Lepisosteus oculatus: one gene and its partners. The protein of the gene in region 1 purifies or fractionates together with the protein of each later gene. This does not show direct contact. Links are inferred from orthologs where the notes say so. Each region holds a gene or a part of one and is shown in the gene's direction. Other genes may lie near its edges.

Region 1 (7,996 bases):
AAATAACTAAAACTCCATCGATGTATGTAGAAGACATAAGAAGACAGTCACAATTTTGTATTTAATCTCATGACTGCTGACTTTCTTGCCTATGTACCATATTTTATCAAATTTAATTTTAAATGTTATTAAACAGGATTTTTATAGGGATTTTAAATAGTTAAACATTAGTCATGCTTTATTGGCACTTCTTTAAATCAGAAAAAAGCTTGAACAACCAGATTATATTTAATATTTAGGAACTCATAATTATTTCCTTAATATTTCCAATCCATCCTTTGCTATTTTGGAACTACTTTGGAACCTCAAAAGAATGATTATTTCAGTAGGATTGTGGGTAGATTGGTTTATTCTGCAAGTCAATGAATTTGTCAAATATTATCAGCTCTGTAGTTCTTCTGCGTGGGTTTGATGCACTGCAAAATGTGGAATGGCTTTGGCCCACTTGAACTGATGCTGATATTTTTATAAAGGGAAAATAATTAACAATAATATCAGTCAATCCCTATCAAATCTAAAAAGGATTGAAGTTCGAGTGTTTTTAACTCTTTTTAAGAATAATGAAGTATACCGCAAAATCCTGAACTGGCAAATACTGCTCAGTTCTAGCAGAAGTCTGTTATTTTATCATTACACAGATTCATGTTCTTTAGACAGTGAAAGGGACAGATACTTTGGTTAAAGTGTGTGGTGACTGTAGTCACATTTTACATGTCATATCATGTAATTTACCAAACCGCTTACCGGCAAGCAACGAGCACAAGGCAGGGTACACCCTGGACGGGACGCCAGTCCATCTCAGGGCAAGTGCAAGGCGATCATACAGGGGGACAGTACAGGCCGGGGGGGGGAATTTGGCCCGGACACCGGGATAACTCCCTACTCTTATTGAGAAATGCCCGGGGATTTTTAATGACCACAGAGTCATGACCTCGGTTTTACATCTCATCCGAAGGACGGCGCCTTTTTGCAGTATAGTGTCCCCGTCACTATACTGGGGCATTAGGACCCACACAGACCGCAGGGTGGGCGCCCCCTGCTGGTCCCACTAACATCACTTCCAGGAGCAACCATAGCTTCCCAGGAGTCTCCCATCCGAGTACTGACCAGGCTCACTCCTGCCGAGCTTCAGTGGGCGGCCAGTTGCAAGCTGCAGGGTGATATGGCCGCCATTTCACATTGTTCTCAAGAAGCATTAAAATTATGTTGATTTCTGTTGGAATTTGGCATCCAAATAGCCTTTTGTTGTGAGGGTCTCTGTGTACTTAGTACACACTTTTTCTGCTGAAGCTGCAGTATTTTATGAGATGGACATACAGAGCTGCTTTGAACTGGAATGGAAGAATGCTGGATACAAGGGCTACTGTGTAATTCTATACTGTGTTATATACTGTATGAAAGCGTGCTATGTAACTAACCAATTGTGTTAAAAGAAGTTCTCTTTGGCAAATAGGGAAGAGGAAGAAGAGTGTGATCTTGGAATGCTGCCAGTCTGATCAGCGCTGGGAAGCATGAGAGATAACAGAAAAATATTTAAGGACTGTTCTAATTTAATCACTTGGAGAAAAATACACTGAGCATCTCTGTATGTTTTGCTCCCATGCTCATGAAATAAAAACTTCTTCTAATTTCTGAGACGGATGCCTGGCTGTCTTTTTAGGGGAAGCAGGCAAATTTCTCCAACACTCTTTTTGTTTTGCCCATTCAAATTTCGGTATGGCGATATTACACTTAGTGAGCAACTGCTAATATATCACAGGGAACATTGATTAATTGTACCATTTGATTAGATTGTTTATTCCCTGACATGATCTGCTACACATATTTACTTAGTTTTTTTCGATTAAGTATCAACTTTTTTTTGTTATATCCTCTCGATTTGAAATGGCCAGTTGTTGTTTTTTTCCCCAAAATCTGGACTTGCTGGTAAAAACCCGCAACTGCACACAGGGGATAATGACAGTGTAGGGAGACTTCAAGCTACTGTACCTCTCACCTTTGACCCACTTATTCTTCAACATGTCAGAGGCTGCGAATCAGCTGGAGGAGAGGTACATCCCTTACCGACAGCACCATGTGCCTGCATACACCTGGGAGGAGGAAGGGACTACTGTGTCTGTAATTGCAGAAAGAGCCCCAGCCAACTAAACCCACACTACCCCTTGGTAGTGCTCAGTCAAATGTAGGCCATAGCTTACTGAATCCCGGTCACAGTTTGCTAGCGACCTGATCCAGGCCCGAACATGTGATTGTAGAGCTTAGCCTGTGCTCAGCTGAGAGATCTCACTACTTTTTACTCAGGAGGTCCCGTGAAATTTTAAGAAGAGAATCTGGGAGCTAGGAATCATTAATTATTTGCACTAACTGCTTACATAATGTTGTGCAATAATGTTGTAAGTATCTTAGGAACTCCTGGTCAATTAATTTTATTAGTCAACATACATTAATAGTGCTTTCACATGAACTAGAGCTCTGACAATCTTAAGTTTTCAGTTTGGGTGGTGGCTTAAGGAAATTGTTCATTAGCTTTGTAAACCAAACAATATGCAATAAATGCTTCTGCAGTGCCTGTGAAACCAAGTGGGATTGGGGATGTGGGAATTGTGCCTTTACAGGATTTATAGCTTACCTCATTCTCATTTATAATTACTACTTGGTCAAGAGGCTTACATTGTAACATCAGGTGGCAAACATTTAATCATACATTTGAAAATGCCCACAGATACAAAGGTGAATACTTTAAGCTTTATTCTGCCAATGACTGGGACAATCTGTAGCTACAAACTGGGAAAAAAAACTCAGAGGGTAATAACCTGTGGGAGGTTTAGTCAGATAAAGGTACTATGTCTTAAATTATAGACTAGTGCAAAGAACTGGACCAATGAAGACAAGAATGTATTTTCCCAATTCAAGTAATGTAAATGAATTTAAACAAGTGAAGTTGTCCAGTATGTTGAGAGAGGCAGTTAATCCAAAACTAAAGAATCACAAAATTGAGTGCGGGTGTCGTATCTTGATATGATATAGGGTGGTATATATTATTGTGACAGGAACAAGTAATACAGTAGGTTTGTCCACTGCTGAAAAGAGAAGAAAGAAAACGCAACGTTTCGGCCGTGGAGCCTTCTTATATTGTGACAGGCTATCAGCCAGTGTCCATTCCGGAAGCTGCAGCTGTAGGGAATTGATGGTTTGATAAGTCACAACTGTGGGTGGTCCTGTAAGCAGACTGTAAACAGCCTGTCTGACTTTTCTGAGGGGATTGTTGGGGTCTGGGACTGCAGAGAGGGCCTGCTTGGCTCTCACACTCTGCAGGGCCACTGCAAGGATTCTCTCTGCGAGAGACGGAGAAAGACAACGGCTCATTTCAAAGCAGCCGTGTTTGTCGGGGAACTCTCCCAGACCTCCTATGCGTGGGTGAAACCCACTGCAACTCACAACTGGCAGCAGGGCCGTAAGGCTAGACAGCGGTCGGTCTGCAGGCTGCAGAAACTCGTGGCTGGTTGTATGGGGTCTGCGGGGGCACCAGAGAAGAGGTGTGCCCAGGATCGCAGGGGGCTGTCAGTCACAGCCACTTCACAGCTCACGCGAAAGTGAACAGTGTGCCCATGCAGAAGACCTGCAGGCCTGGGGGCCCGGAACAGCTCCTGCAGAAAAGGAAGGAACTGTGGGGGGTTGCTGCTCAGACTACAGTGGGGCTCCTCTCCTGTTTCGTCGCGCCCAGTGGGTGGAAGTTGTAGGAGCGGGACGTGCAGCTGGGAGGACCCCAGCTCTGTGTCGGGGGAGTAACGGGGTTTACCTGCCCGAACGCCGGCTCTCTGGCACCCAGGGACGGCTGGCGTGTCGCCACTGGAAGGACCTTGGCAGGGGAGAGGACATGCCGGCCTGAGAGCTGTTGTGAGCGTTGGTTTGAAAGACCAAGAAAAAGACAGTGTGGTGACTGTGTGCGGTGTGGGGTGTGAAATATAGCTGGGTGGGGGTGAAAGAAAAGATAAGAAGAAACAGAGTGTCAAGTGAGTAGTGAGTGAGGAAACATCTTGTACAGATGCCTCCACTGCAAGCTCACTGATTGACGTGGGCCCCCCTGGTTGTTTGCTTCAAGTTTTGTTTAGCAATTGTAACTAATGGAGGAGTTTGAATTGTTTCTATGGGATACCCTAACTTAAGCCAAGTTTAGGAGAAAGTGCAGTTCACCTAAACTGAATTTTATTGAGACAGAGTTGTAAGTTGACTGTTAATGACAGTAAGGTGATTGTAAGATGGCTGTCATCAACATGAATATGGATATGAGAGTCGGCGGCTATTGGCTGAAAAGACCGTGGAAAAACACCTTGAAGGACTCCCTTAGTATTGGGAAGAATTTGTAGAACGAATCTCGCTGAAAAGGAAATGTGGTATAATCTTGCAGTCCTTGTTGTAATAATTATAATTAATAGGCCTTTCCTTATTGTGGGTGGATGCATCAGTTAACAGGTATTAACATGTTAGGATATCCAACACTAGCAATAATACGAGTTTATACTTCATTCTTGATGCACATAATACTCAGTACGCATCATTCAGTTGTTTCAGCATTGTTTTTTCTTGATATTGAGATGGAATGTTTTGTTTAGACTTCCATTTTTTTAAACGCTCTCTCTGCAGGAACTGCTTTTGTCGGAGAAACGGCTTCCCGTGCTGGATACCCAAGCTTGTGTCACTGCTGACTCTATTCTGAAGAGTTTAACATTGTCAGATCCAGCCTTGATTTTTCACTACATGCTTTGAATACATCAGAATTAGAACAGATGGGCTACTAAGACATTTTTGTTAGTTTTGAACACAAATGGGGTACTATGGTCTAGTACCCAACAGATCCAAACTTCAGTTTTAAATCACATGAGAGCATCAGTTAAAGATGCACACATGCACCTGCTGTATGATTTGCTGTTGAGGAGTGGCTTCAGCAGAAAAGAGATGTCTGTGTTTAAATATGATTAGACAAATTTGGCTTCATGCAAGATCAGGAAAATGCAAATCTGACCTGCACACTGTAGCCTAATGGCTGCACTCTGCAAAGCTGTAAACCTCCACAGTAATGTGCCTAGGAGGTACAGTATGAAACGCAGTGAAAATATGGGAAACGTAATCTGTATTTGCCAGCATTCAGTTCTTGCTATGAGAAAAAGTCTCCCAACATTGTTATAATAATATATCTATGTTCTTGCTTAATAGGAATAGGCGTATTTTCTTAGTACTGCCAAGAAAACAGTTAAATTTTTAGGTCTGAGAGATTCAGTTTATTTCTTGCAATAAGTGAATCCTATGACAAAGATAGTATGTCTTCTTGAGAGGAACGGTAATGTTTGCTTTACTTGCATGGAGAAACCATCAGTGAAATGCAACTTTTTGGAGAACTTGAGTGAAAAGTTGTTGTTTTTTTTAAATGAGCTGATTGTGCGCAACATAAACTTAAGTTGCAAGTGGCAGAGCTCTATCCATGCTTGGTTCTCAATAAAGTTAATAAATTATGGCCTCTTGTGGTTGTTTATATAGCTGAATTATTTTGTGTGCAACAGAATTCTGCCAGTCTTTTACAGTATACAGTATTACACTAGTAATGTGGCTGGTGAGCATGTTATTCTTATGTATATATATATGATTTTACTTTGTCAATTTATACAACTCTATTTTTAACACTGTATAATTATAATAAGTGACGTGGGTGTCATTGGGGTAGTTTAACATGGAGCAAAGTCTTTTCCAGCACTTCACTGTCATATCGTTCAAAGCGGTTCTCTAAGGAACATAATTGGTGGCCACTGGTCGAGACCTTGCAGGCTGTAATCTGGGCTGTCAGTGTCCCCCAAGTGGCAGATCACAGCTGATTCAACACCAGCAGCAACCTTAGTTTTTCCCAGGAGGTCTCCCATCCAGGTACTGACCAGGCTCACACCTGCTTAGCTTCAGTGGGCTGCCCTTTGTGAGTTGCAGAGTGATATGGCTGCTGTGGCCTCAGTAGGCATATTAAGAGTTTAGTGCTTAGGAGCAGTCTGGGGATTTCTGGTTGACCAGAAGGCTAGGCCTCTGAAATGCCTTGTCTGTAAATACTGTACATAGAGTAACATGTTTTGCCGCTCAGGTATATGGCTAGAAAATCACTTACAAGCCGGGGACGAATAATTATTTCACTGATTGAATCCTGCCATTTTTAACGGTATATATGTTACCGTTTTGTATTTGTATGTACTTGCTTATTACTTCATTTTATTTTTGAGTGGCACTTGCTTTCCTCTTACAACATTCTCCTTAATGTCTTTTCCTTGTCATTTTGTTTTTTTGTACCAGCTTGTTATCCAGTCTACTCTTTCCTTTGTGAGTACGCTTCAGGTAAAACATTTCTAAACACTGTAAGTTGTCCTATTTTAGGTAAGGTGAGGAAGGTCTGGTAAATAAAAATTCCACAGTATTTCATGTGACATTAATATTTCTATAAAAATGACTGTATTTTAAACGTTACACATTTTAAAATGTCATCACAAAACGTCCTGTTAAGTGCTGCTGTTTTAGTAAATGACTATGTTATAATTCAGTACTTTTTCACTTAGACCTTTCAGAGGATATCACAGTTCCCCCAATCATTAATGTGTAAAGGAATCTGTACGTTCCAAGAAGTAAAATATCTATGTGTTATTACATTTATTTATTATAGTTTTCTTTTTTCCATCCAGGGTGCCTTTTAAAAATTGAAGAAACACCTGATGCTGCAATGTCTTACCAATCTGGAATACCTCGGGATGCAAATCAGCTGGCACAGGCCATAAGCTCTAACATCCAAAAGATAACCCACCAAAGTAAGTGTTTTTCTTACATGGTCAGGATATGTACTGTAATAACCTAGGCTGGAGGTTCCCAACTGAGCGGCCCCCTGGTGGTCTCTGGAAAAAGTTATTATTATTAATTAAAATTTGATCTTTGGCTGTATATTTGTATATTATTGTTATTTTAATGTTTTTTTTTTTAATGTATGTACAGTACATTTATGATTATTTCATTTTTTAATCCAAGCAATGCCTTTGTAAATGTTCTGATAAGGTTGCATAAGACAAGTTGACGTCGTATTTTTTTGCCAGTTAAAAATTAATTCCTCTTTAGAAACATCCATTATGTGGAAACTAAAGTTTCCTTTTGCGGTTATTTAAAATAGATTTGTGGCTTAAACTGGGACCGTTAAAAAAAAAAAGATAAAGCCACATTGAAAATGGTGGTAGAGTGAGTGTAAAATGTCTGTTTCACACTGCAGTTAGATAAAACTACAGAAGTCGCTGACTCAGCCAAACTGCTTGTACACATTAGATAGGAATATTAGGGAATAGCACATGTAAAATTTTGTTTTGCAGGCCACTGCCTATCAAAATGCCCATTTACTGAATTCCAGTGAGTTACAGAATGGGTTTGCAGAGGAGTGTGGTGTTGACTGGCAGTGTTGTTGGAGTTTGAACGGATCTTGCCAGATGTCAGGGCAACATGAAATGAACTCGCTGTAGATTCCATCAAGAAGCTTTGCCTTGAAGAGACCGCCTGAGGGCAAGACGACTGTGTTAGATTCTGCTGTGAAAGCGATGAATATCGTTGAAGCAAGACCTGGGAATTTGTGGTTTATTTCCCGGGCTCTGTAATGAAATAGTAGTCACACGTAGCTTCTGATTCACGCAGAAGTAAGGTGGTTATCTAGAGGCAAAGTGCTCACATTGTTGTTCAGATTGCATGTGGGTGTTCAGATGCTTCTGCAAGAGCATCTGCTCTCTTTGTCAGAGTGCTCTGTAAAATCTGACTCGTTGAGATGTGAGAAGTACTCACATTTACAGTTTTTGATGGAGGTGATAAGATTAACACCACGGTGAAAAAGCTTCAGTTGTCTGAAATGAAAACTTAAGGCATGCTTTCTGTTTTCCCCACTTTTGAAATTTGACTGAGATATGTTGCAATGAAACAATAAGATATTAATTCAAAAGGT
Region 2 (7,297 bases), on another chromosome or scaffold:
CTGCTCAGTGCTGATCTCATTAATCCGGAACCCACAGCACACCCTCTAGCCTGATGCAAGGCACCACGTCTTAGCAGTGAATTATAAAAATAATGTAACCAGCTAATAATGGTATCAAAGATTATTTCTTACATGTACAGTTGAATTAATTCACCTTATTCAGAAATACATTAAAACAGATCAGCAGTCCGTTCTTGTACGGTTCACAAAACGTCGTGTATTCAACTTGCATGTTTAGTTTATCCAGATTTGACTCCAGGGAGCTCCACACTGTAACTTAGGCTCCATCTAGCGACGGAGAACCGCATTACCTCGCAATCACTATTTCACATTGATATCTGCTAGAAATGTGGATATCATTTTGTTCATTCGTTTTCATTTATAAGAAGTTCTTGTCATGTGTGTGCATATGCGTACATTTTGTTTGGCAGACGGGTGTTGTTCAGTTTGAAAACCAGTCTATCCTTTATATAACTTTTCACGGAAATCCAAGCCTTTTGACTTCCAGCGAGTATCGTATTAAAGCAAGCAAGCACGTCACACTTCAGACTGTACCCTTGGAGATCTCCGCAACACGGCCCACTGAGACGTGCGGAGCTGCACGGACTGCGGTGCATTCCCCGGAAGATCTGAGCTGGACCTGCTGATCCTGAAAGCAACAGCGTCTTTAGTTTCGCTTGATGTTTATCTTCGCGTGGCTAATTTAAACGTTATTTATATTTCTGTTTGTAACACAAGAGACGTGACAAAGGAAAGAAAGCCGTTTAGAAGCTAACGATCCACGCCGTTTCTTGAAAGAAGTCAATCCTTCAGCAACCGGGCCGGACAGGTGTTCCCTGTTCCGCAGCTCTTTGTGTAAAGACTCCTCCTGTACTCAGTTGTAAATCAATCTCAGTTGCATTTCCAAATAGTTTCCACTTGCATCGTCTAGTTTCAATTTCACATAAGTCACGCTGATTAGGTACAATGTCAACATAACATCCCGTGATTCATGTTCTACACTTTCAAACATTTATCGTAGCACTTTGTTTGCCGTTTGTATCACTTACCCACATTGCCTATAAGAATTAAATGATGCATCACTATAAACACCCAATTCTTCATTAGTAGTGTCTTGAAGCAGTTTCCCATTTCATATTTATAGTTTATGTTTTTGGTATTCACAATTAAATGTAATCTGCCGGAAAATACATTTTATTTTATTTTTTGCCCTCCCTTGAATGTTCTCCAAGTCTTTTAAAACGTCTTTTGCTGCTTATGTAGTATTTGCTATATAGACTTGTATACTTTAATATCGGAACATTGATTGTTAGGAAAAGCCAGACTTGTCAGATCTCCTGTGGTACTGCACCACTCTGAGCATGCACATATCTGTACTGTGTTTTCTATTGGCCGATTCTGTGATGTTTAAAAAACAAAAACACCTGTTCCTGCGCTATTATGGATACTGGAAGATTCACTTGTAAGAGAAGCCAATGATGAACTCTATAGATATGATTGTGCTCTCAGAGGTCCCTTGTTTTCTTATACAAATAGGAAAACACGTATAACAGGTTTATTATCTGTAAGAATCCACTATTGTCAAAAATCAGAACAAAAGTAGTGCATCACTACTATTAGTGATTGTCTGCCAAACTATCCTACCAACACAAAACTCTTGACAGCTTTTAAATTCAAATATGCAGATGAGAATGCTGCAAAGTATTAAACAGAAACATTCACACAGATACAGGTCTCCAAAAATCAATTAACCTCATGAAATCAGGCTTCACGATGCTTTTATTTTATTTTGCGTAGAAAATCTGTTGCAGATGGAATGAGCTGGTAACTGGTTAAATGTCAGCCGCTATAAAAACCCAGAGTCTGCTTCTTCTCTTTAAGAGCCGGTGGAAAGACTGTAGGCAGTACTAGTGCACAGGAGTTACTGATGATACTGGCATCTGCATCAGCTGGTAATCGTAGCTGAAGCACGCTGATCACTTTGATTGTGAAGCACAACAGATGTCACAACAGTTCATCGGGTTAGGTGTTTTCTTTTAATTTTTAACCATGTTCCCGAAAATGTATTGCTTGTGTACTCCTTTCATTGGTGAAGAGATACCAGTTTCCAAAATGCCGCTGGTTCAACACGAGAGCCCATATTCACATTTTTAGGTATTAGTTTCAAGAGCGATATAATTTAACAATTAAAAACAACATTGAAAGCACGAGCATAACAATATAATGATCATAGACTTTACATTTCTATTCATTTTTGAAGTACAAAGCAGGTGTTTCCTCTACCTTAAATATACGATTAAAATTGTTCAAATACCATGTATTCCTTACAGAACATGTCGCGACATGATATGACATACCCCGACAAAAATGCCCTGTCCTATGTCGCGACATGGAGTCCGTATATCGCGATATGACATACCCTGACAAAATGCCCCACCCCCATGTCGTGACATGGAGTACATACATCGCGACACGTCTATCTGGGTATATCATGTCCTGATATGAGACCTGTTGCGATAGCTGTGGCAGGGTGGCATGGAAGCAAGGCGCCAGTCGTGATATACACTGCCGCGATATACATGCGATATACATGGGGTCCCTATCATGACAAGCTGCGGAGGTCTTGCCCGATGGTATCCCACAGTTACGCGTTTGGCAACAGGAAAAGTCACGGTAGGAAAAGAAAGGAAAAGGAAGAAAAGGAAAAACAGAGATCTTACAATCACGGTGATTTTACGTAAATTACAGCCACAGGTTCATGTCATAGATGGTTAACTTGTCGGCATGCGTCATGTCTTAGTATTATTCACATCTAAGGAGGCTCATATGTTTATGGATATTGATTGTCTTTATAATGTTAATGGTACGAGCTAAACTGTAACAGAGCGCTTGAACTCGGCAGACGGGGTCACTGGAGGTCAAAGTCACTGTGTATCTCGGGAACGAAAGCAGCACAAACGCTACTTTCAACGGCACAAACCGGCACAAACGTAGCGCTAACGAATGAGGTGGGTTTCATCGTTTGTGCTGTCTGTAGGGGGGGCAGCTTCACGGAGCTTTTAACTTGCCTTTACGTAAGGATTTCAGAGGTTGGAGTAAATGCATCGCCCCAAGGGTAATATCGAGTGAGGCTACATGAGAATAAAAACTGCGAAGGTATAAAAATATTAAGTTCTAAATTCTTGGTTGATCCTTCATAATGCTTTTAAACTTGTATGTGACCCACGAAATTAGTATTTTTTTCGATGCCAAAACCTAATTTGGAAATTCACACAAGACTTAACACTGAACTGTTATAGTCGCATTACAGTGCTGACCAATCCATCGTACCTTTAATTTTAAGAATGGTCTGCTAATAAAAGCGTCAAATACATACTTAGGATGTATTTTAGCGCTGTAAACGTCGTTCACTTAAAAATACTGCAGGGCATTTAGAGGCGATCTGAATAATTATCTGTAAATGCATACTCGCATCTATCTGTCAACATTATCTCAATGTTATTCATGCATTCCAAAACATGTAATTTGTTTACAGGAGATATTTTAGGACCTCTTCGTGCTTAACTCCTACAGGTCGAGCATGTATCTGCTGCTTGTGTTCGGGAAGCCAGGCTGTACTCCTCAAAACCCAAGATGCCTGTAGCATCTCATGTGTCTTATTTGTTTCGGGACTGGTCTGGTCATCTACAGGCGGCTTTTTGAAAAGCGTAGATACACTTGATCTTAGCCAAAAGGCCGATATTTCCCCAGAAATCGCGTTAATTACAATGAAATACTGATCAAAATTAATAGAAATATTGTATTAACAAACTCGATGTAATTATATATTTCAACGTCAGCATTGATTAATTGTTTAATCCAAATTATACCATTCTTAACCCAATTTTAAAAACAAGGTTTTATTTCTAACTTTTATATAAAGTTGTTCCAAATAGTAAATCTATGAGGGGAAAAGTTATGTTTACACATAAGTGACCACGTTAGAAGTACGTTTATGAAAACTAGGAAGTTTCAAGGGGATTTTTCCAATGTCAAAGTTACACTTAAGTAAAAACTCTATACCCCTAATTCTTGAAATATCAAATTGGGGATTATATGCCACATACTTTGCTAATTATTTTAATAGTTTTGTATCCATTTAATCTTAAAAATAGCATTAGATGTCCTAAAATCTAAAGCATTTAAGCCCCCTTCTGCCTGTGGACGACAAAGAATCTATTTTTTAGGATATTGCGGTTTTTGCGTGTGTACATGTGGCAGAGCCGGAAGCCGGTGAAGTCCCGTGCTGCGGACACGATGATTGGCGGATCGCTTGCAGCCTGTGTGTTACGTCAGCTTGCTGCTGCGAGAGGTGTCTGGGTCCTGGGACGGTGTCGGCTGGTCTGGAGAATTTAGCCGGTTCGCTTTGTGCGGGATTAAGCGGAGGGGAGAAACAGGCACTATTGGAGGGTGTTCTGGCGAGGGTAGGTATATCCGATATTGGGCCGTGTGTGTGTGTGTGGGATGTGGGGAGACAGGAGGTCTGTTGTCTGCAGTTTGACCTCTGTTCTTGTGCGCTTCTTTATGACGATCCTGAGTGCCAAGCGGCAGATGTTCGCGTGTGTTAGTGAGCGCTTTTTGATGATGAGTTTACGTAGGATGTTCAGGGGGTTTCTGTGAGTTTGAGCTTTTTTAAAAAAATAACAGTCGTCTGCTGGCGTTTGCGGATGAACTGGTTACTGGTTCCCATTGGAGATGCGCAGTCCGCACACCGGTGTGTGTGCCATCTGAAGGCGAGAGCCGTGCAGGATTGCATCAGCGCTTCTGCGTCTCTTCATATCGCTGTCAGATCGATGCTTTTGGAGAACATTAAACTGCTCCAGTCGTGCTGTATGTTCTTAGGAAGAGAATCGCTGAAGTGTAATGAAACCGCTCTCCAGAGGGTGCGGGCAGCGCTGTGTCAGCTCTCGGAGTCCCGACTGAGCAACAGGCACGCTGGCCTCCTCTGACCCACACCCCAGGTCACAAAGGGAAGTGGGGGAGACCACACAGAGCCCCAGCACCAGCCCGAAGCACACCATACAAGCTGTGGTTGGAAATTTGTTTTGTTTTTTTTTAGAAATAACCTTCAGGTCCTGCTCTGGTATTTCAGTGTTTGTATTTACTTTTGCGCAATTTCCTGTTGACTCTCACTTGCAGTAAGTACAGTCTGCTCTGGAGGGTTAGCGCCAAAGTCAATACTACACTGTTTACCTCCTAGCTGGGCTCAGGTTAGCTGTAGTACTTCCAGCTCAGCTACAGTGACCAGCCTGTTTTTTCATGAAGCCGAGAAGCCGAGGTTTCTACAGGAGTTTCTTCTTTCTTATGTGAAACATGGCCGTCTGCTGGGAGTCTGGTACAGGTACAGCAATATCGGCACTGAAAAGGGAAACCTTTCATGTTTTGTATTTAGCCAATTGCTATATTTCTATATAAAGAGGCTCAATAGAATTGTCAAGGCAAGTGCTGAGTTCTGATGCACTGAACAGTCTTGCAGGCAGGCTTGTCTGGTGTAGATGAAGAGAGCAGGAGTACGGGCTACAGTGTGGGCACTGATGAGCAGAGAGCAGGAGTACAGGGAACAGAGTGGACACGTCACAGTGTGGGGCGGTGCTCCAGGCTGTGTAGTCTGTGGGTTCAGTCCCAGATGGAGACACAGCTGTAGTCTTGCTGGTGCCCAAGCTGCTCCAACAAACTGAACACCAAACAAACAGGAAACACTAGTCTGTAAAAAAGAAGTAAAAGTAGACACCCATACATTTTTTCTTATTAAAGCATTACTCATATTAAAAATACTCAGATTGAAGTTTTTCTCTGAATTCTTTGGCTGTGTCCACATATCCAGGGTTATTTACAAGGCATTTTTCCACCAGGATCAAGTTTGCTCTGGCACTTAGGGAAGTGGTTGGAAAACGGTAGGGGTGCAGAGATCTCCAGGAATCCAATCTACCGGAAATGAGGTTGGTGGAAAAAAGAGGAATGAAATGAGTGTTGTATGAGTCAGAAACCCGGAGTGTGCCGTGGGCACCAGTGCAGACTGACCAGACCAGGTCTCCAGAGTCCCGCTCTTCAGGGGAAGGTTTGTCTTTCCGTTGAAGTGGGTCTCTGAATGAGCAACTCCTGAGGTCAGAGCTGCTGCTGACTCCCACCCAGGCAGAAGGTTTGTGTTGTTCAGTCAGTAAACGCCGAGCTGTGTTTTAATTAATGCGCTGTTGTCGTGGAACTTTGCAGTAGGGAGCTAGGATTGAGCCCTGCAGGGGGTCAAGAATGAGTATTGTGTGTTCCCTTTCTGACAGACTGGATCAGAAAGCTGCAAAGGGAGGGAAAGCAGTCTGCTCTTGATTAAGAGCTGTTATTTACCCAAGGTCACAATTTACCAGCACCACAATGCTTCTCTGAGGTTTGGTAGACGCTGAATCCCTGAGACTTGTCTGCATTTCAGTTCTTCATCACACTGAGCTCCTAAAACACTTCCCACCAGCCCCTTTCAGCACAGCATTGGTCCTTCGGGGATGTGTAATTTCAGGGATGTTCAGGAATGTTTTTTGGTATGTGGAAGCTGTAGGTACTGGCACCCACCTACATCATTTATATAACACCATTATAATCTCAAAATTGTTGCAGTTATAACATTATGCCTGTACTCAAAGCACCAATGACCTTGCATCTGTAAAAAGTTCTTTATGTTTAAAGCACTTCTTTTGTTAACAATACGTCCTTGGGATAATGACACGCAGCGCGTAGACTGCAGGCAGCTACAAATTCAGTTTTTGAAAACAGAAAGGCTAGAAAGGAAAGCCATCTCGCTGCTGGAAGAGGGGGTTGGGTGGGATTGAGGATTGTAACTTCTGTTATCTGGCTGTAAAGAGGAAATGGGCGGAGAAAGAAAAAGGAGAGAGAAACTTTTTCTTCCTTTCATGCTGCTGTATGGTGCCTTAAGTTCAGTCCTGAAATAAAGGCCTGGTGTTTGCTTCACCTCTCTAGCCTGGACTCTGATTCTTTTCCTGGCCTGCTGAAGAGGGTTACACTCATCCATCTGCCTTGACTGTAAACCAGAAGCACACTCAGGGTCAAGGTCAGAGATATAGCCCAGGAAGCAGTAACCAGATGGTCACAGAGGGCCTGTTTCTTGAGTGCTCTCTTGTGCTCTGGAGAGGAACTGATCTGTCTGCTCGTTGCAGTGAAACTCATTACATTCCAGATTATGAATAAACGGAACACAGATCTGCAGGGGCCAGAAAAACTCAAAGTTGTCAACAGTGAAGTCAAATAAGACTTG
Region 3 (7,327 bases), on another chromosome or scaffold:
TTGATATATTCTTTGTTAGAACAAACTTCACTGCACACACATGCTAAAAGTAATGTTTCCATGCTCTTCCAACTTCCTACGGGAGTCCGCTGTCTGAAAAATTGTATCTTTACTTTATAACTTACACTGAAGACGTACAGGGGCTGTGATTAATTGATGGCATTGTCACAAAACGGTACTCTGAATTTGTTAGTATAAAATGTATTGGTTAAAAAACAAGTTAATTTTTTATTTTCAGTGCACAACTTCAGGATGGAAGTGTTGTCTATTTCCTATTCAGCTCTTGTCAATTCCAGAAGCTGCAATGAATTATGGGAAGGCCATAGGTCATGTTGCAGGTTGCCTGCTGGGAACTCTACTGTGCAGGAACAAAACTTCGCATTTGCATTTTTGTGTTCATGTAAATCCAGCTTAACACAAAAACTGAATGAGCCCTTAATAAGTACATAAAATTATCTGCACCCCACCACATTCATCAAGAATCCTCAAAAAAGGGGGAGAAGGAGTGGAGATTGGAGGAGTTGTGATAAATAAACTTCTATCCCAAAGAAATGCCCCCAGGGCCTGGAAAAAGGGAGACCATCTGGGACATATCAGTCACAGTATTCCTGGACTCGCACGGTTTGTTATTAAAAACAGGTGACTGCTCTTCTGTGTTTGGAAAGAAGCGAGGAGAGCTGCCTATTCCAGGCCTCCCTCCTACCTCCCAGCTCGGAAAGGATCAGGAAGTCTGCTCCACTCATCAGAGCGCGGCTCTGGAGTTTATTTCCGACGTCTCGCAGGGAGACGTTCCAGCGCTGAGGTCTGGAAGACGCCTGTCAGAGCTAGCGGAGGAGGGGGTAGTTTATACACACTCTGAACACTAGCGCAGTTGTAGCTTGTTTAGTTTTGTTTGGAACATCAAACAGTAACTCCCACCCTTCTTCTAACGGCTTCAGCCTCTTCAGGGTTGTGTTGGAGCCAGAGCCTGGCCTGGCAAGGTGCACACACACTTTAGGACCAATTTTCCCAGAAGCCAATTAACCTTCCAGTATGGCTTTGGACTGCGGGAGGAAACCCACACAAACACAGGGAGAACATAAACTCCATGCAGGCTGCACCCCAGGCCTGGAATCAAACCCAGGGCCCCTGGGTTTGTGAAGCAGCAATGCTACTATCAAGCCATCCAAAACAATAACAATGCAACCAAATTTGTCCAGAGAGCCCCAACATCTCTTTGTCTAATGGAATGGATGAGTATTTTTTCCTTAAGCTTTAGAGAGAGGAGATCCAAAGCTGTATCTGTCATCTGTGAATGCTCATCTGGCTGGTGGATCCCCTCAGGAGGGCTCTGGACCCTGTCCTTGTGAGGATGAAAGGGTAACTAAAGGCTCTTAGCTTTGGGAGAGATGATGACAACCAAGTCCTTCATCCCAGCTGTGCTAAATCATCATTCCCAACCTCTCTTCTCAAAGCTTTATTTCTAGATCTCTATCATACCCAAATCCCTCTTCCCCTTCTCCAGCTATTTCCACCTGTGCTGCTGCCCCTGCATGGAGGTGCCAGCCTCCTCATCCCACAGCCTGGGGGCCAGACCTCACCCGAGCGGGTAGAGCCAGATTTCAGCCCGTCCATCAGACATCTTCTGAAGAAGATGAACTTCAAAATATCCAAAACAAGGGACTATGGAAGGAACAATAACTGAGACGTGGCTGTGATGGACCCTCAAAAAAAGTAACTAAGAACAAGGTGAAGCCATGAGTTTAAAGACACTTTTCTAAACAGATGAGCACGGTGCCTGACACCCAGGGCAGCACTGTCCCTCCCTGCTCCAGGAGGAGCTGAAGCCTGTCCACGTCAGCACTGTCCTCCTGCTCCCAGTAGACATTTTGGGCCTTTTCCATCAGGGGACAGCAGGCAGTCGGCTGGGCTGAAACAGGATCTCTTCGAGATGCAATTTAACATCAAAATTCCTCTCACTGGTTGACATGAATCACCACTAAAACTAACAGATCTTTAAGTGGGAAACACCTTCCTGTCTTTCATCGTTTACGGTGTAGCATGCTTTAGTAAACCAAACCTCCCAACTTTAGGACCAAGTCATTTCAATTTGCCACCGTTATTGTGAGAGGAGCAAGATGAAAGGTGTGCTGAAACTGTCCACTTTCATATCCGAGAGCATTTTAAATTACACAATTAAATATTTTCGGCCTGGTTCCTTAATTTGTTTTCTTGTTGACATTACCACATCCCATTTCACTACTTCCTGTTGCATCATCAACTTCTTGTTGATTTCCGTTTTCATTCTTTCACTGCTTTGTTTTCTCTGCAAGTCTGCTGTGAGTCTCTTGGCCAGGTCTCAAATGTAAATGGACATTTGTTCTCAGCTGAGTTCTGACGGCTACAGGAAGGTTTATTTTTCCTCTGCTTCATTTGTACAGTGCCCATGAACAGATTAATCCATCAAATCCATATTAAGAGGGAATCCATACAGTACGTCTTGTACCTTAGGAAGAAAGAAAAGGGGGAAATTTTAGGGTATTAGAAATGCCTTTGGTGTTGAGCTCTCACGAATGGACTACATCTGCCACACAGATTGCAGGGAATAGGCAATACTGAGTCACAGCACAGGGGCCACAGAATGGTTAGTATTGTGAAGAGGGTCAATCGACACACACAATCACAAAGGCGCTCTGTTCATAAGAGAGCAGCAGTGACAGCTGTTGAACCCCTGAGGATCTGTACTGACACCCACCCACCACTCTCCCTTTTGACATGCCTTCCCACGCACGTCTGGACTGGACAGCTGTGGGGAGGTGACACCGGCCCCAGTCGACACCCTGTGGCTCTCGTCCCATCCCGTGCGACATCGGGCCATGCGGGAACATCACCATCGATTGCTGCGGTCTCCCTGTTTGATGTGGTGAGGCTGCACTGCTGGCCTGGAAGCGGTCTGCCGGATAATGAAATCAAGACTGTTTTGAGCAAAGCCCACACAGTGGCAGCGTGGGACAAACAATCTGGCCTTCATTTCATAAACCCACTGCAAGGAGCATTCCTTCGTATCATTATTGTTTTTATTTTTCCATGACCTCCCCATCCATACCACGTTCTAAATCCACAAACACAAGTCAGACAGGTTGTTAATATCGCATCTGAGGCCCGGCAGGAAGCTGGGAAGCTATCCACAGACCTTCACCCAACTTCCTTACGGACAAGAGAATTCCGCAGGGCGCCAGCTGTTGGACTCCATTCAGCCAAACCCCCTGGAGATGAAACTGCGGAGACGTGCAAGAAGTTCACGGCTGTGTTTTGCCACGGCTCAGAATTCGCTCCAGTATTTCTAACTCCAGTTATGTTTAATGGACTGCGTACTGGTACGCACCGTGTACATACAGACTCACAGATACGATTTCCATGTCTTGACCATCTCTCGTTACATCTGAACCTTTAAACCATGGTGGTGGTCAAGTTACTACAATTTCACGTGATTTACTGCTGATGGAACAATATGTACCCGGTCAATCGTTATAACACCAATAATGATCATATTCTAGCAAGAAGAAAAAAAAAAGCACACAATGAGAGGAGCAGAATTAAATTGCCTCCCTCAATGTAATTGAAGTATTTTGAATAAAGTATTTTGAATTGAAGAATTGCAATAAGGATTTGGAATACAGTGGAAAAGCATAGGGGCGGACGCCGAAAATAAAATCCATTCTAAAGAAGAATGTTTTGAGTCTTGAATTTAAGTCTCGAGTTTAATTAAAATGTCACATCGGCTCTTATACACGCACTGCGAGGATGATGTTACATGACAAATCAGATTTGGATGTGACTGCACTGGGACCGGATGGTGGGTCATTATGGGTGCAGTTGTGACTCGGCCCATACAACTGTTCGGCTCCATAAGAAAATGGGACTCTTTTTTATCATATTAATCAAAAAATTAAAAAAGGCTGTCGAAAACCACTTATTTACACTTCAAAGATTTCTCTCCTCTGCAGTGGGCCGTCATCACAGATCGTTACGGAAGAGTAAAGCTTTATAAAAGCCTTCACTCTTTAGTAGACTGTGCAGTTTGGGGCGTTTGGAAACAAATGCCAACGATGCTCAGGTCCACACAATCTGATCCCGCTACTTCCGCTTTCTCCTCCGTCAGTACCCATAGCAACAGGAAATCTTCCAGTACGTGACACCCCGTCAGCGAAGATCTTTAGTCTTTTTGCGTAACACTTTACGCTCCCCACAGCGCTGCGGACTGGCGTAGTTCCCCGTGCTTGGTTGGTGAATACAGAATCTGCGAAAGGCAGTTGTTTAGCTTCCCGGTCAGCTGTGAGTGAACAGGAAGAGTGTTTCCCAGTTGAATTACGGATACAGCAGCTGCAGGCCGGCAAGGCTGGAAGTCACAGTTATTCGGTCAGATCTTTTTCAGAGGCTGTTCAATGATGAAAGAAGAGTGACAGTTGTTTTCTGAATAATCGAGAGTTTAAACTCCGGGGACTGCGAGTGGACCAGGCCGATAGACACGTCAGACACAACGCAGGTATAAAGATCTTTGTCCCCTGGCCTGTCATCGCCGAGTTCAGTTCAGATTTTGAGTTCAAACTGAAACAGTGGCGACTGCTGGTTTGTGCCTCTCTGCATCTGGCGTCTGCCCTTGGTTCTTCCTCACAATTGAGGAACATTTATCATTGCATTCTGATGTAAAAGTCGAACAGATTGGTCATTTACTCGTCTTTAGTCCAACGTGTGTGCAGGTGTTAATTTCTGACACATCCATCGATCGCAGGCTGGTTTTCCTGAACAGAAGTGCCTCCTGTCCTCAGAACTAAAATTAGTTGCTCTTAATTTCCGTTGAGACTCCCTGGTTCTGGTCTCCGTGCGAAGTGTGACGTGGAAGATTTAATGTCTTCAAGATTTGACTCCTTCCTGTCCAATTTTTAGAATTTTAAACGTGCTACTATAATCTCCTGTAGGGTGTATTTCTCCAGCATGAGCAGGTTAAATTCTTTCACTCGGTCATCACACAACAGTGGTCTCAATTCGAAGTTCTTGTCGTTATAAAGCAGTCCGCACTCATTGACTAGGGATCAACTAATTAAAATGGTTAATTACTGCAGTTAAGTGATTGAGAGGTCAGTTTGAAGACTCGTGGGGTTTTGGCCTTTCAGTTGGGATGGGAAGGTTGATGTGCTATTATTCCTTTTTGAGCAGGATAGTGAAAGAAGTCAGTAAAGTCATTGGTGCACAACAGCTACTGCTGCCAGACATCTGTACCACACCAGTACTTCAGAAGACCAGTATAATCACTGACTCATGACCTGCCTTTGCAGAGTGAATATGAGCGTGTACGTCAGGATATGGATTTAGACTACCCAGATTTAGGTGCAGTAGAACTAATTTACCCATTATTCCCAAAGCTATTAACCTGCTTTGTTTGGACAACCGATATTGTACATTTTACTTTATTTTTTATCATGCTTAGATTTGATCATATTTTGTGTCTTGTGCAACTGTCTCATCAAGTTTCAGTTTTCTGTCTAAATGGAAAAGTTTATTTAAGATGCTAACTTGTTTTTCTCATCTTATGCAAGTATGTTTCTTATTTGTTAAGGGGATCATGTTGTGTTACATCTGCAACTGTATGTGTTGTGTTATGTGTTTTACTTCAAGTAGGTAGCCTGCGTAGGCTGCAGAGGAACAGGTAAAAGTTTAGGTTTAGGTTTAGGAGAAGCAAAAAGACACAGCGTTTTAGCTGTGGATCCTGAAGAAGAAGCCTATTTTCTTTTCAGCATGGACTGAAACTTTACCTGTTCCAATGTATTTTACTTGCCTGGAAAGCACATTTCCCATCTGGGACAGTTACGGAAGTGAGTAAGCCATGTCTTGCCAGCACTGCGCTGCTGATATCTTCAGGTGTCTGATATCTGGAGTTATGGTTGGAGCCCAGCAATCTTGGAAAGCGCTGATCTGCTTGGAACCACTGACGGAATTGGCCACCGCTGCTGCAATGACTCTTGATTGCTCCACAACGTAGACTAATCATCAGGAGAAAAAGTGAGGTGTTGTTACTTGGGTAGGGTCTATCAAGAGTGAGCTGCCATTGTGTCGTTGCTGTGGGAGTTTTCCCTTTGCCCTTGACTGGCACATCGCACCACCATGAGATTACTGCGCCATCATTAAATTGAGCATAATTGGACCCATTTCCACTTAATTATTTCAGTCTGGGGTGGCTAAAGCCTGTCACTGTGTCTTCTGGTTTTCATTACACCCTGATTTCCTAACTATGTAATGGGATCAATTCTTTGCTTGATCAGAATTCGTGCTTTTCCCAGTCCTTTTGTCCCGGTGGTGATGTAAAGGAACCTGTAACCCGGGCAGGGCAGGTACTCTCCAGGACCAGGGTAAGCTTGCTCTGATTTTTAAGGCCTCCATCACGCCTGTAATTCAGGAGGTGGAGACTCCTGTCGTGCGCAGGAAGGGTTGGGACAGTGTGGGCAGTCATGTGGCTACACTTGTGAAGACGCCTCTGGAGGTTGTGTCATTGCAGCCCTGTCTTTTCTGTGTAGATATCAGTAGTGTTGAGTAATCACTGTCAGCATGTCTGGGCATCGGTGCACCCAGTGAGAACGCCTGCAAACAACCAAAACCCTCTTTAAGACTGCTGTGTGTTTCATTTATGTGTTGAATTGGGGGAAATTATCCAGTTCTCCCCTTGGGTTAACTATGTTTTGGAGGGTTAATTAGTCAAGGTTCATGGTATTCTCTGCTATTGATTAAACGTCATCTCTAAAGTCTGTATGATTGGGACTTTATAGGAAGGGGTATTTACAGTATAAATATTTTATAGGCTTACTCTAACCCTTGGGCAAGGTGCATCTCTTGCAGTAAACCACCACCATCAATTATAATTATTTTAACACTGTAACAAACAGCAATTTATTTTCGCAGTAAGTGAACCTGAGATACCTGTCTACTAGTTATACTTGCTGCTGTGTTGAATATGAGTGTTTTATTTTCCTGATTTTACAAGCATGTAAACCACACGACCATGCATCACATTTGTCACCTGTGTAAGTTGTTTTGAATAAAATGTATTTCTTGATCCTTATCTCTCTTTTTTCCATCCATCACACTCTCTCTGTTTTCTGTCCTCTCCAGTTCATCCTGCAGCCCCAGTTGAGCTCTGTCCCATTTTCTGTATCCCTTCTCTCTGCATTCTCTCTCTCGTTGTGTTCCTTGTTTACTGGAAAACTCAGGGCTGCTTCTGGCCTCTCAGGGTTTCCTGGGAAAACAGTTTTCCAAAAAACCTGCCAGGAAAGCTGGAAACAAAATAGAATTCCAA
Region 4 (7,544 bases), on another chromosome or scaffold:
AGTTTGTACGTTCTTCCCTTGTCTGCGGAGGTTTTCTCTGGGTGCTCCAGTTTCCTTTGACAGTCCAAAGACATGCTGGTAGATCAATTGTCCTCTGGGAAAACTGACCCTGGTATGAGTGTGTCTATGTCTGTGTGTTCCCTTGATGGACTGCCATCCCGTCCAGGATACATCCTACCTTGCACCCTAAATTGATGATCCTGAATTGGATGAAATGATTATTACTATTACTATTGTATATCCATATTCAGTACCTGCTTAGTTCAGTACAGGGTCATGGTGTAGTTCTTCTTAGTATTTATTATTAGAAAATATTGGTTTTGGAACCACATTTAACATCTAACTCACAACATCCAATCACAAATGCCTCCCCTTCCTCTGTCTGTGTGCTTGAAGCTCAGCCACTGGGTTTCACTGTCGATCAGGGAAGTGACTGTGGATGTTCGATATAATCGTTGTTTTCAGTCTACACACACAAGAAGTTTCCTAAGATTGTAGACTGAGATCGATCTTCGATCTGTCCTGCAGGGCTACAGTTATTTATCCTGGGTGTCCTTGCAGCTGTGAGCTGTGATGATTTGAATTCAGTTTTAATTGGGCACCGCTCCCTTCCAGGAAGACTCTAGCAGAGCTGGGTGGGGCCTCACTGGAAACATGAAGCCTGAGGTCTGGCCTGTGAGTTATACGTCGGTGATGGAAACCTTGTGTGCATGCACTCAACACAGACGAACACGCAGAGCCCTGGGCTTTTCGCATTCGCTCACACACTCCTCAAACAATGCAGGAAACAGATCTCAGACAATCGACAGCAGAGGCCCTCCAATTCCATTTTGACCTTTGCGTTCTCTTTCCATAAACGTGCAACTCAGGATAGGATGAATCTTGTGTAACGTAGAAACTTTGGTCTAAGAAGCCATTACAATGTGTTGCGTTGTCTTACCTATCCACAACTGGGGATCTGAGGGAGCAAACACACAGGTCAGCAAGAAGATTTCAGTCTTAAGTGTGGTGTTCGGTTTGTTAAAACGTAGACGACACTCACACACATCTATATCTGGATTTTGAACTGAATTGTTTTATTGGAATATTCTCCTTCATTATACAATCATTTTCACACCTATGGATAAAGTACCAGTTTTTTAACCATGTATAGCACTGGTCCAAAGTGAAAATCACAGTCCCTGCCTGTGTAAAGAAATGGGATTTTTCCCTTCATGCCCTCTCTGTTGTGTTGTTTTTCTAGTGGCACTCTTTTAATTACCACTTGTCTCACAATGCACACAGCAACATAGATACACAGGCAAAATCACACAGCCTTTCTTCAGCTGACAGAATATTTTTTCAATACTTTACACAAGAATATTACAGTCCATAACAAAGAATCAATAAAAGGGTGAGATTTTGATCTCAGATTAAATGCAAAGCAAGTTGGAGCATCTAAATAAAATGTGCAAGGGGAGCCATCTAGTGATTTCAGATCTGCAAGACCACCGCGTGTTATCCAGAGGCGCCGTTGCTCTCTCTCTCAGATTCTTTACAGATACAATACATGTGTTTTCAACGCAAATTCAAATAACAACATGGAAGTATATTGTACTGTTCTCCACTGATGTGCTGTCTTATCTGATTTCTTCATAATGCTTTGTTGTCTGAATGTGCTGCATCTACAGAAGTTCAAGTAGGTACAGGAGCTGCGTCAGCATGCGTAGGCTGCAAAGGAACAAGTAAAGATTTATTCCCCGCTGAAAAGAGAAGAAAGGAAACACAACCTTTCGGCTGTGGAGCCTTCTTCGGGTGTCAGTGTTGTGATGCTGTTTCTTTTCTTCTCTTTTCAGCACGGAACAAACCTTTATTTGTTTCTGTATATACAGTATTAATGTATATTGCATGACACTGATCAAACTCAATTTAATTCAAATTAATACTATGGAGAAATCCAACATTTTGTTTCTGTCCTTAGTTTTATAACAAATTACCAATTAGCGAAATCAGCATGTTTTCTTAGCCTAGCAGCCCTGAGTAACAAGACAATTCATTTTCACAAGTTACAATACTGACATTGCAACCAACTGGATAGATATTATGTGACATTTATTTGATTTTAAGTATTAATTCTGGATGATAAAAAAAGCATTGGAAAAAAAAACATATTACCCAAGTGTTTAATTCAACCAGTGTTGTGATTACAGAAAAAACAACCTGGTGTCCTTTAAAGTCTTGTTTCCTAAAGTACGATTTAACAATTTAAGCCGACAATCACAATATTGTATACACTTGGGTTTGGTAAACCTTACTGGATGATAAAGTATGTCTGAAAATATTCTTTTTTCTGGCTGACCCACTGAAGCTCATGAATACACATAAGTGGTGTCTGGGCAAACCGAGGGAAATGATGAATGTCTGCTCCATGCTCCTCTAAACCACACAGAGGCCCGATCTGTGCGCTGAATAGGTATATTGACATTATACAGACTTTGCAACTGGCAGCGCAGTAATGGTGCATGATGGGAATGCCCTGGTCAACTGCTATTTACAGGAAATGTATGGTTTTTACAGACTCAAGTCCATCAAAAATACCACAAAATGAAGATATTTTTTAATTTTCCTGTTTCACTTGTTGCCAAGGAGTGGGAAGCAGATGAACAATTGCCATAAATGAACAAAACTGCTGGACTGGCTAATTTGACCACGAACCAACTGTTAAAGATGAAAACCTTTGATTTCACATGAGAATGAATGCTGGTAACTGATGATGTGGAATACTTGAAGATCCTTTTAATCAAACCTTTACATCAGGCCACATTAAAAAAAACAACAGAATATTCGATCGCTTTGAAAAAGGAATGGCACACTGCGTAAAATGTAAAATTTGTGAAGAAATTTGCACATTCATAAATGATTGAGACAGTTCCTCGGTTGTCAAAAAGGGTCTGATAACCCTCATTTTCTCTATTTTCACTTCCTTAACACTGTAGCCCTCTGCACAGCTCCCTCTTCAGGTACTGTAATCAATACGAAACTTTCTTTCTTTAATAATTGAGCAAATGTTAACTATGAAGAAAGTATTTTTCACAGGCTAATTCAAATCCTCTGCTTGGGTATTATCATGATATCTCATGACTGGCTATACTTCCAATCACATAATACCCAGCTCCAATGGATTACAAATTATAGAACTAAATATAAACCATATAATATATTAACTCATGCCAAAAGCTGATTATTTTACAACGTAAAAAATGCAAGGCTATCTCTGACAGATTTAAAGCAATACAGTATTAAATTCCTTGTTAGTTTCATTTATAAAATGGCGCACACAAAACTTTTTCTGTGAATTTAATGATTTTGTGAAAAGACTAGTTGAGAGCAGATAATGATAGATTCTGTTTTCACTACCTGCACCTTCACTTATCTACATTAAACAACAACATTAAGGTGAATGATAATAATAAATGATATTGAAATGTATCTTTTTTTTATTCCATTTGCTAATCCTCATGTTTCACTATCATCTGTAAACTTGTTAGTTTACTAATTGTACCAGAACCTGGATCGTTGATATAAATGAAGAGCAGAGGTCCTAGGACAAGTCCCTGGTGGTCTCCTCTAATTACATCTCCTCAATTTGAGCATTCACCCCTCGTCTGTACTTTTTTTCTATTTATTAACTAATTTTCAGTCTAAACACACGCCTTTCTCTGAATGCCTACAGCCTGAACATTCCCTTGGATACAACATATTGTATGTTCTGTGCACGTCCATTACCGTTGTTAATTGTTCAAAGAACGTTTAACAAGCTGATTAGGCAAGGTCTATATCCATAATGCTCACCTATATGAAATAAAATCTAGGATCATAGTTTAGTTGTAATAATTGTTTCCATATCCTTATTTGTAATAGAAGTCAGGCTTATTGGTCTACAACTTCTCGCGTCACTCTTGATATTTTTTTTCTTAATCCTTACTGGTTCTTTTGGTGTCGCAGTACTGAAATGACAGTTCTAACCTCTATTGTAATATGTTCTTTAGCACCTGACTAATATCGGATTTTAAACCCCATGTACAACTGTTACTGTTATCCCACTCCTTTCTTGTCGTTGTACGTTTTATGCGCAGTTTATTCGCACGGGCAAAACAAATCAACACAGTGCAGTACTTCCACCTGGTGGATAAACGGCATACGGTACGTGTCACCTAAAAAAAAAATGATTTTAAGGCTGTCACCATTTTTTAGATATCACTTTATCAGCCACGATTTCTTGCATTAGGAATTCGTCTTTTCACATACTCCAGCTTGCTCTACATGAGACACACCGACACACGGGCAGGCAGAATTAGTCGGCACCAATTATAATGGCAACAGATACTACAATCCTAGCATCTCGCTGAATAAAGGCGACATGACGTGTCAGAAATACTGAGCTGAGTTGGAAGACTCTGGCGCAGCTGGGCAGCTCCGCAGCTGGCGCAGCTGGCGCAGCCGGGCCCGTGAGCAGTACTGTCCCTGTCGGGCACCCGTAGTGACGGGGGCGTCTCTCTCTCCCTGTCTGTGCAGACAGCGCTGTCATATTTCAGCTCTGCAGAGGGGCACTGCTTCCAGGTGCTTGTGCTGGGTCTGTTTTCCCCCTGCCGCGGGACCATGGCCGCTCAGAAGATCAATGAAGCACACGAACACATCGCTAAGGCGGAAAAATAGTAAGGACGATCGTGCTCGGCGATTGCTTTATTTAGGTCGGGAATCTGCAGCCCTTCTTGCGTATGTTTTGTACAATCAGGCTGGGATCACAATTTTTTTTTCAGTGTCAGTTAAATTATATATCAGGGGTACTTTACCGAGCGAGACATTTAAATTATCGTGGGTTAAACTCTCATAATTATGTATTTTCTTATTCTAGTTTCTATCCCACGGATTATTTTTTTTTCGCCTTTTTTAAAAGACTGGCTGGATTAGCTTTCGGGAGGCTCCATGCTGATTGGTCAAGAGCTGTGAAACAGATGGCGCAACATTTACCGAGGATTGTAGGGATTGTAGTTCTTGTCATTGACTCTGCCCTCTCTTGTTGTGATCACGATATATCTCAAATACTACATCTACCACCATGCCCTATGGTAAATTCAACGGGCGAACGTGGATTTACTTCCTGTGCTGTCATGTCATGTGAATTTTGAGTCTGAACATTTGTTAGGAAATTGCTGAAAAACGCCAGACAATATGGAAAATTTATCTTGTGCAATCAGTAATACTTCATAAACCTCACATGTTTGTGTTTTTTTTTAATAGCGTCAACAAGCTAGAGGTGCTCTTACCTCTAGCTTGTTGGCTGAAATGATGTTGTTGTTGGTTACTGTGCCTCTGAATTATTGCCCCCTTACTAGAGGTATACTCCTACTGAGACGTCAGCAGGGATTAGGAATTACATAGATCTTGAAAATACTCCCATTTTTCTGAAAGCAGTGTGGACGTTGTCTTTTGCTTCTTTCACTTCTGTACTTCTGTACAGGGGATTTTAACAGCATTTCAGATTGTGCGTTGTTACGTATTTATTAGTGGTCTCGCTCACATTACACACGGTTACTCCGATTGTGGACTATCTAATGCTAAAATAGTCTGTGAGCTGGTTTCACAGACCAAGATTAGCTCGCTACAGTATACTCATAGAGTTTAATCAAATACTTTTAACACATTCACAAACCATCCTTGATTCACATGAGTCATAAAGTAAATAACAATGGAGCCTGATAGAATAACTGTGAAGAGCTGGGCCAAAATATCAAAATGAAAGTGCAGAGTTTATGAATCTCCCACAGTCTAGGCAGGTGCTGTTATGAAACCTAGTAAGCCTTCTTATGATGGAGCGAAGCCTAAATTGTTTGGTCCCTTATACATAAAATTATTCTTGTATTTAGCTTGTGATGTCTCCTATAGCAAGCACAATTAAGTGGCAAATCATCAATTTGACCCCTAAATCAAGGTCTTTTGACTCCATGTCCCAACAATCAAGAAGGAAACATATGGGATACGGTATTTTCAAAATATGAAAACAATAGCAGTAACATCCTCACAGGAGTAATACTAATAATACTTCGGTCCTGGGACAGCTGTCTTTTACCTCCCCAAGCACACACTGGTGCATCTGTCTTCCAGGATCTGATATTTGATGAGAAAAAGTTACTCAGACTAAAAGAAGAGAATTTCTTTCCAGTGGGAATGAAAAAAATGTTGGGGTGGTAGGACCCCAGAATACGAAGATGTGATTCTTACAGGCACCTTAAATTATACTACCTTTGCTGTTTAATAGTGTACTGCAGGTATAATGCTCTATGGGTTGGGTACAGAACAATTGGAAAGGATATTGCTTCAAAGATAGCTTTCCTGAGCCACCTACTGTATTTAGCACTTGGCTTGGTCTTCCTCTGTGAGACGTACAGTATTCAGTAAATAATTGCTTGATTCTTTTTTCGTCATAGTTTAAAAACGAGCTTCATGAAGTGGAAGCCTGATTATGACAGTGCCGCAGCAGAGTTTGCAAAGGCAGGTAAGAAACAATGTGTTTCACTAAGATATCAAACATCTCTTTCTGCTGTTATCATCCATACCAGTAGAATTTGTGAAGTCACGCTTCATTGCAACTAAGTGTTATAAGACGAGCTGCAAGGGTATTTGCTCCTCTTAGGATTTTCCGCTCTGTGATCTGTAAATAAACTGTTGCAATGTGTAACGCGACAGAAATCAATATTTGGAAGGGGGCTGTATTTTTTGCCGTTAAGTATTTTCCCAGTTTTCCCAAGAAGTGATCTGATGGAAAACTGAAGATGGTTCCAGGAAAAAAAAGCACTTCCCTATGTTTTGAAGTGAAATGGCTGCTGTGTAATCAGCATGTACTTTGTGTTATGCCGCGGAGTCTTTTGGTAATTTGATGACTGGGAGAAAAATATTGGAATTTACATTTCGATAAAAAATGGGGTGGAGCGGTGGCTCTGTGGCTGAGGATCTGCGCCTGTGGCTGGAAGGTTGCTGGTTCAAATCCTGCAGCCGGCAGAGGAATCCTACTCCGTTGGGCCCCTGAGCAAGCCCCTTAACCCCAACTGCTCCAGGGGCCCTGTACAATGGCTGACCCTGCGCTCTGACCCCCAGCTTCTCTCCCTGTCTGTGTGTCTCATGGAGAGCAAGCTGGGGTATGCGAAAAGACAATTTCATAATACAAGAAATTGTATATGGCCAATAAAGTGATCTTATCTTGTTTCAACCCACATATCCCCCTCGACTGCCTGTGTCAGGTATTATGAATGAAGGCACAGTACATGTAAGACCATGTCACTCAAGACAGTTGAGTCCTTTTTTTACTGTGGGTTGGCAACTGAACATTTCTTTTGTGTGTGCTATAAACGAAGGTTGTAGCACACATACGATATAACCTTTTCAAAAGGTTTTAGTCTTGTGTTTCTATAGCAGAAGTAGTAACTCCTAAAACTGATCCTTTACATGATCGTCTGTGAAAGGTTATAAACGAGCGGAAGTTCTTCGGCCCATCATTGTGTTTTCTG

The links.
Region 2: the proteins of stx7l (region 1) and slc31a1 purify together in Homo sapiens (affinity purification with mass spectrometry; 3 studies listed by BioGRID and IntAct, counting the BioPlex papers as one, with this or other methods). This does not show direct contact. The link is inferred for Lepisosteus oculatus from reciprocal best matches to the Homo sapiens genes STX7 and SLC31A1.
Region 3: the proteins of stx7l (region 1) and vamp4 purify together in Homo sapiens (affinity purification with mass spectrometry; 3 studies listed by BioGRID and IntAct, counting the BioPlex papers as one, with this or other methods). This does not show direct contact. The link is inferred for Lepisosteus oculatus from reciprocal best matches to the Homo sapiens genes STX7 and VAMP4.
Region 4: the proteins of stx7l (region 1) and napgb purify together in Homo sapiens (affinity purification with mass spectrometry; 3 studies listed by BioGRID and IntAct, counting the BioPlex papers as one, with this or other methods). This does not show direct contact. The link is inferred for Lepisosteus oculatus from reciprocal best matches to the Homo sapiens genes STX7 and NAPG.

The regions. Positions count from the first base shown.
Region 1 is NC_090697.1:4,612,032-4,620,027, forward strand, and holds the start of stx7l (syntaxin-7), read left to right. Parts: upstream 1-4,986; 5' UTR 4,987-4,994; coding exon 4,995-5,006; intron 5,007-6,332; exon of another isoform or gene 6,333-6,369; intron 6,370-6,709; coding exon 6,710-6,833; intron 6,834-7,996. UniProt on the Homo sapiens protein: May be involved in protein trafficking from the plasma membrane to the early endosome (EE) as well as in homotypic fusion of endocytic organelles. Mediates the endocytic trafficking from early endosomes to late endosomes and lysosomes.
Region 2 is NC_090719.1:255,823-263,119, forward strand, and holds the start of slc31a1 (high affinity copper uptake protein 1), read left to right. Parts: upstream 1-4,276; 5' UTR 4,277-4,463; intron 4,464-5,210; exon of another isoform or gene 5,211-5,380; intron 5,381-5,891; 5' UTR 5,892-5,973; coding exon 5,974-5,978; intron 5,979-7,297.
Region 3 is NC_090704.1:31,384,787-31,392,113, reverse strand, and holds the start of vamp4 (vesicle-associated membrane protein 4), read left to right. Parts: upstream 1-4,307; 5' UTR 4,308-4,525; intron 4,526-7,327. UniProt on the Homo sapiens protein: Involved in the pathway that functions to remove an inhibitor (probably synaptotagmin-4) of calcium-triggered exocytosis during the maturation of secretory granules.
Region 4 is NC_090701.1:56,736,927-56,744,470, forward strand, and holds the start of napgb (N-ethylmaleimide-sensitive factor attachment protein, gamma b), read left to right. Parts: upstream 1-4,523; 5' UTR 4,524-4,638; coding exon 4,639-4,694; intron 4,695-6,467; coding exon 6,468-6,535; intron 6,536-7,544. UniProt on the Homo sapiens protein: Required for vesicular transport between the endoplasmic reticulum and the Golgi apparatus.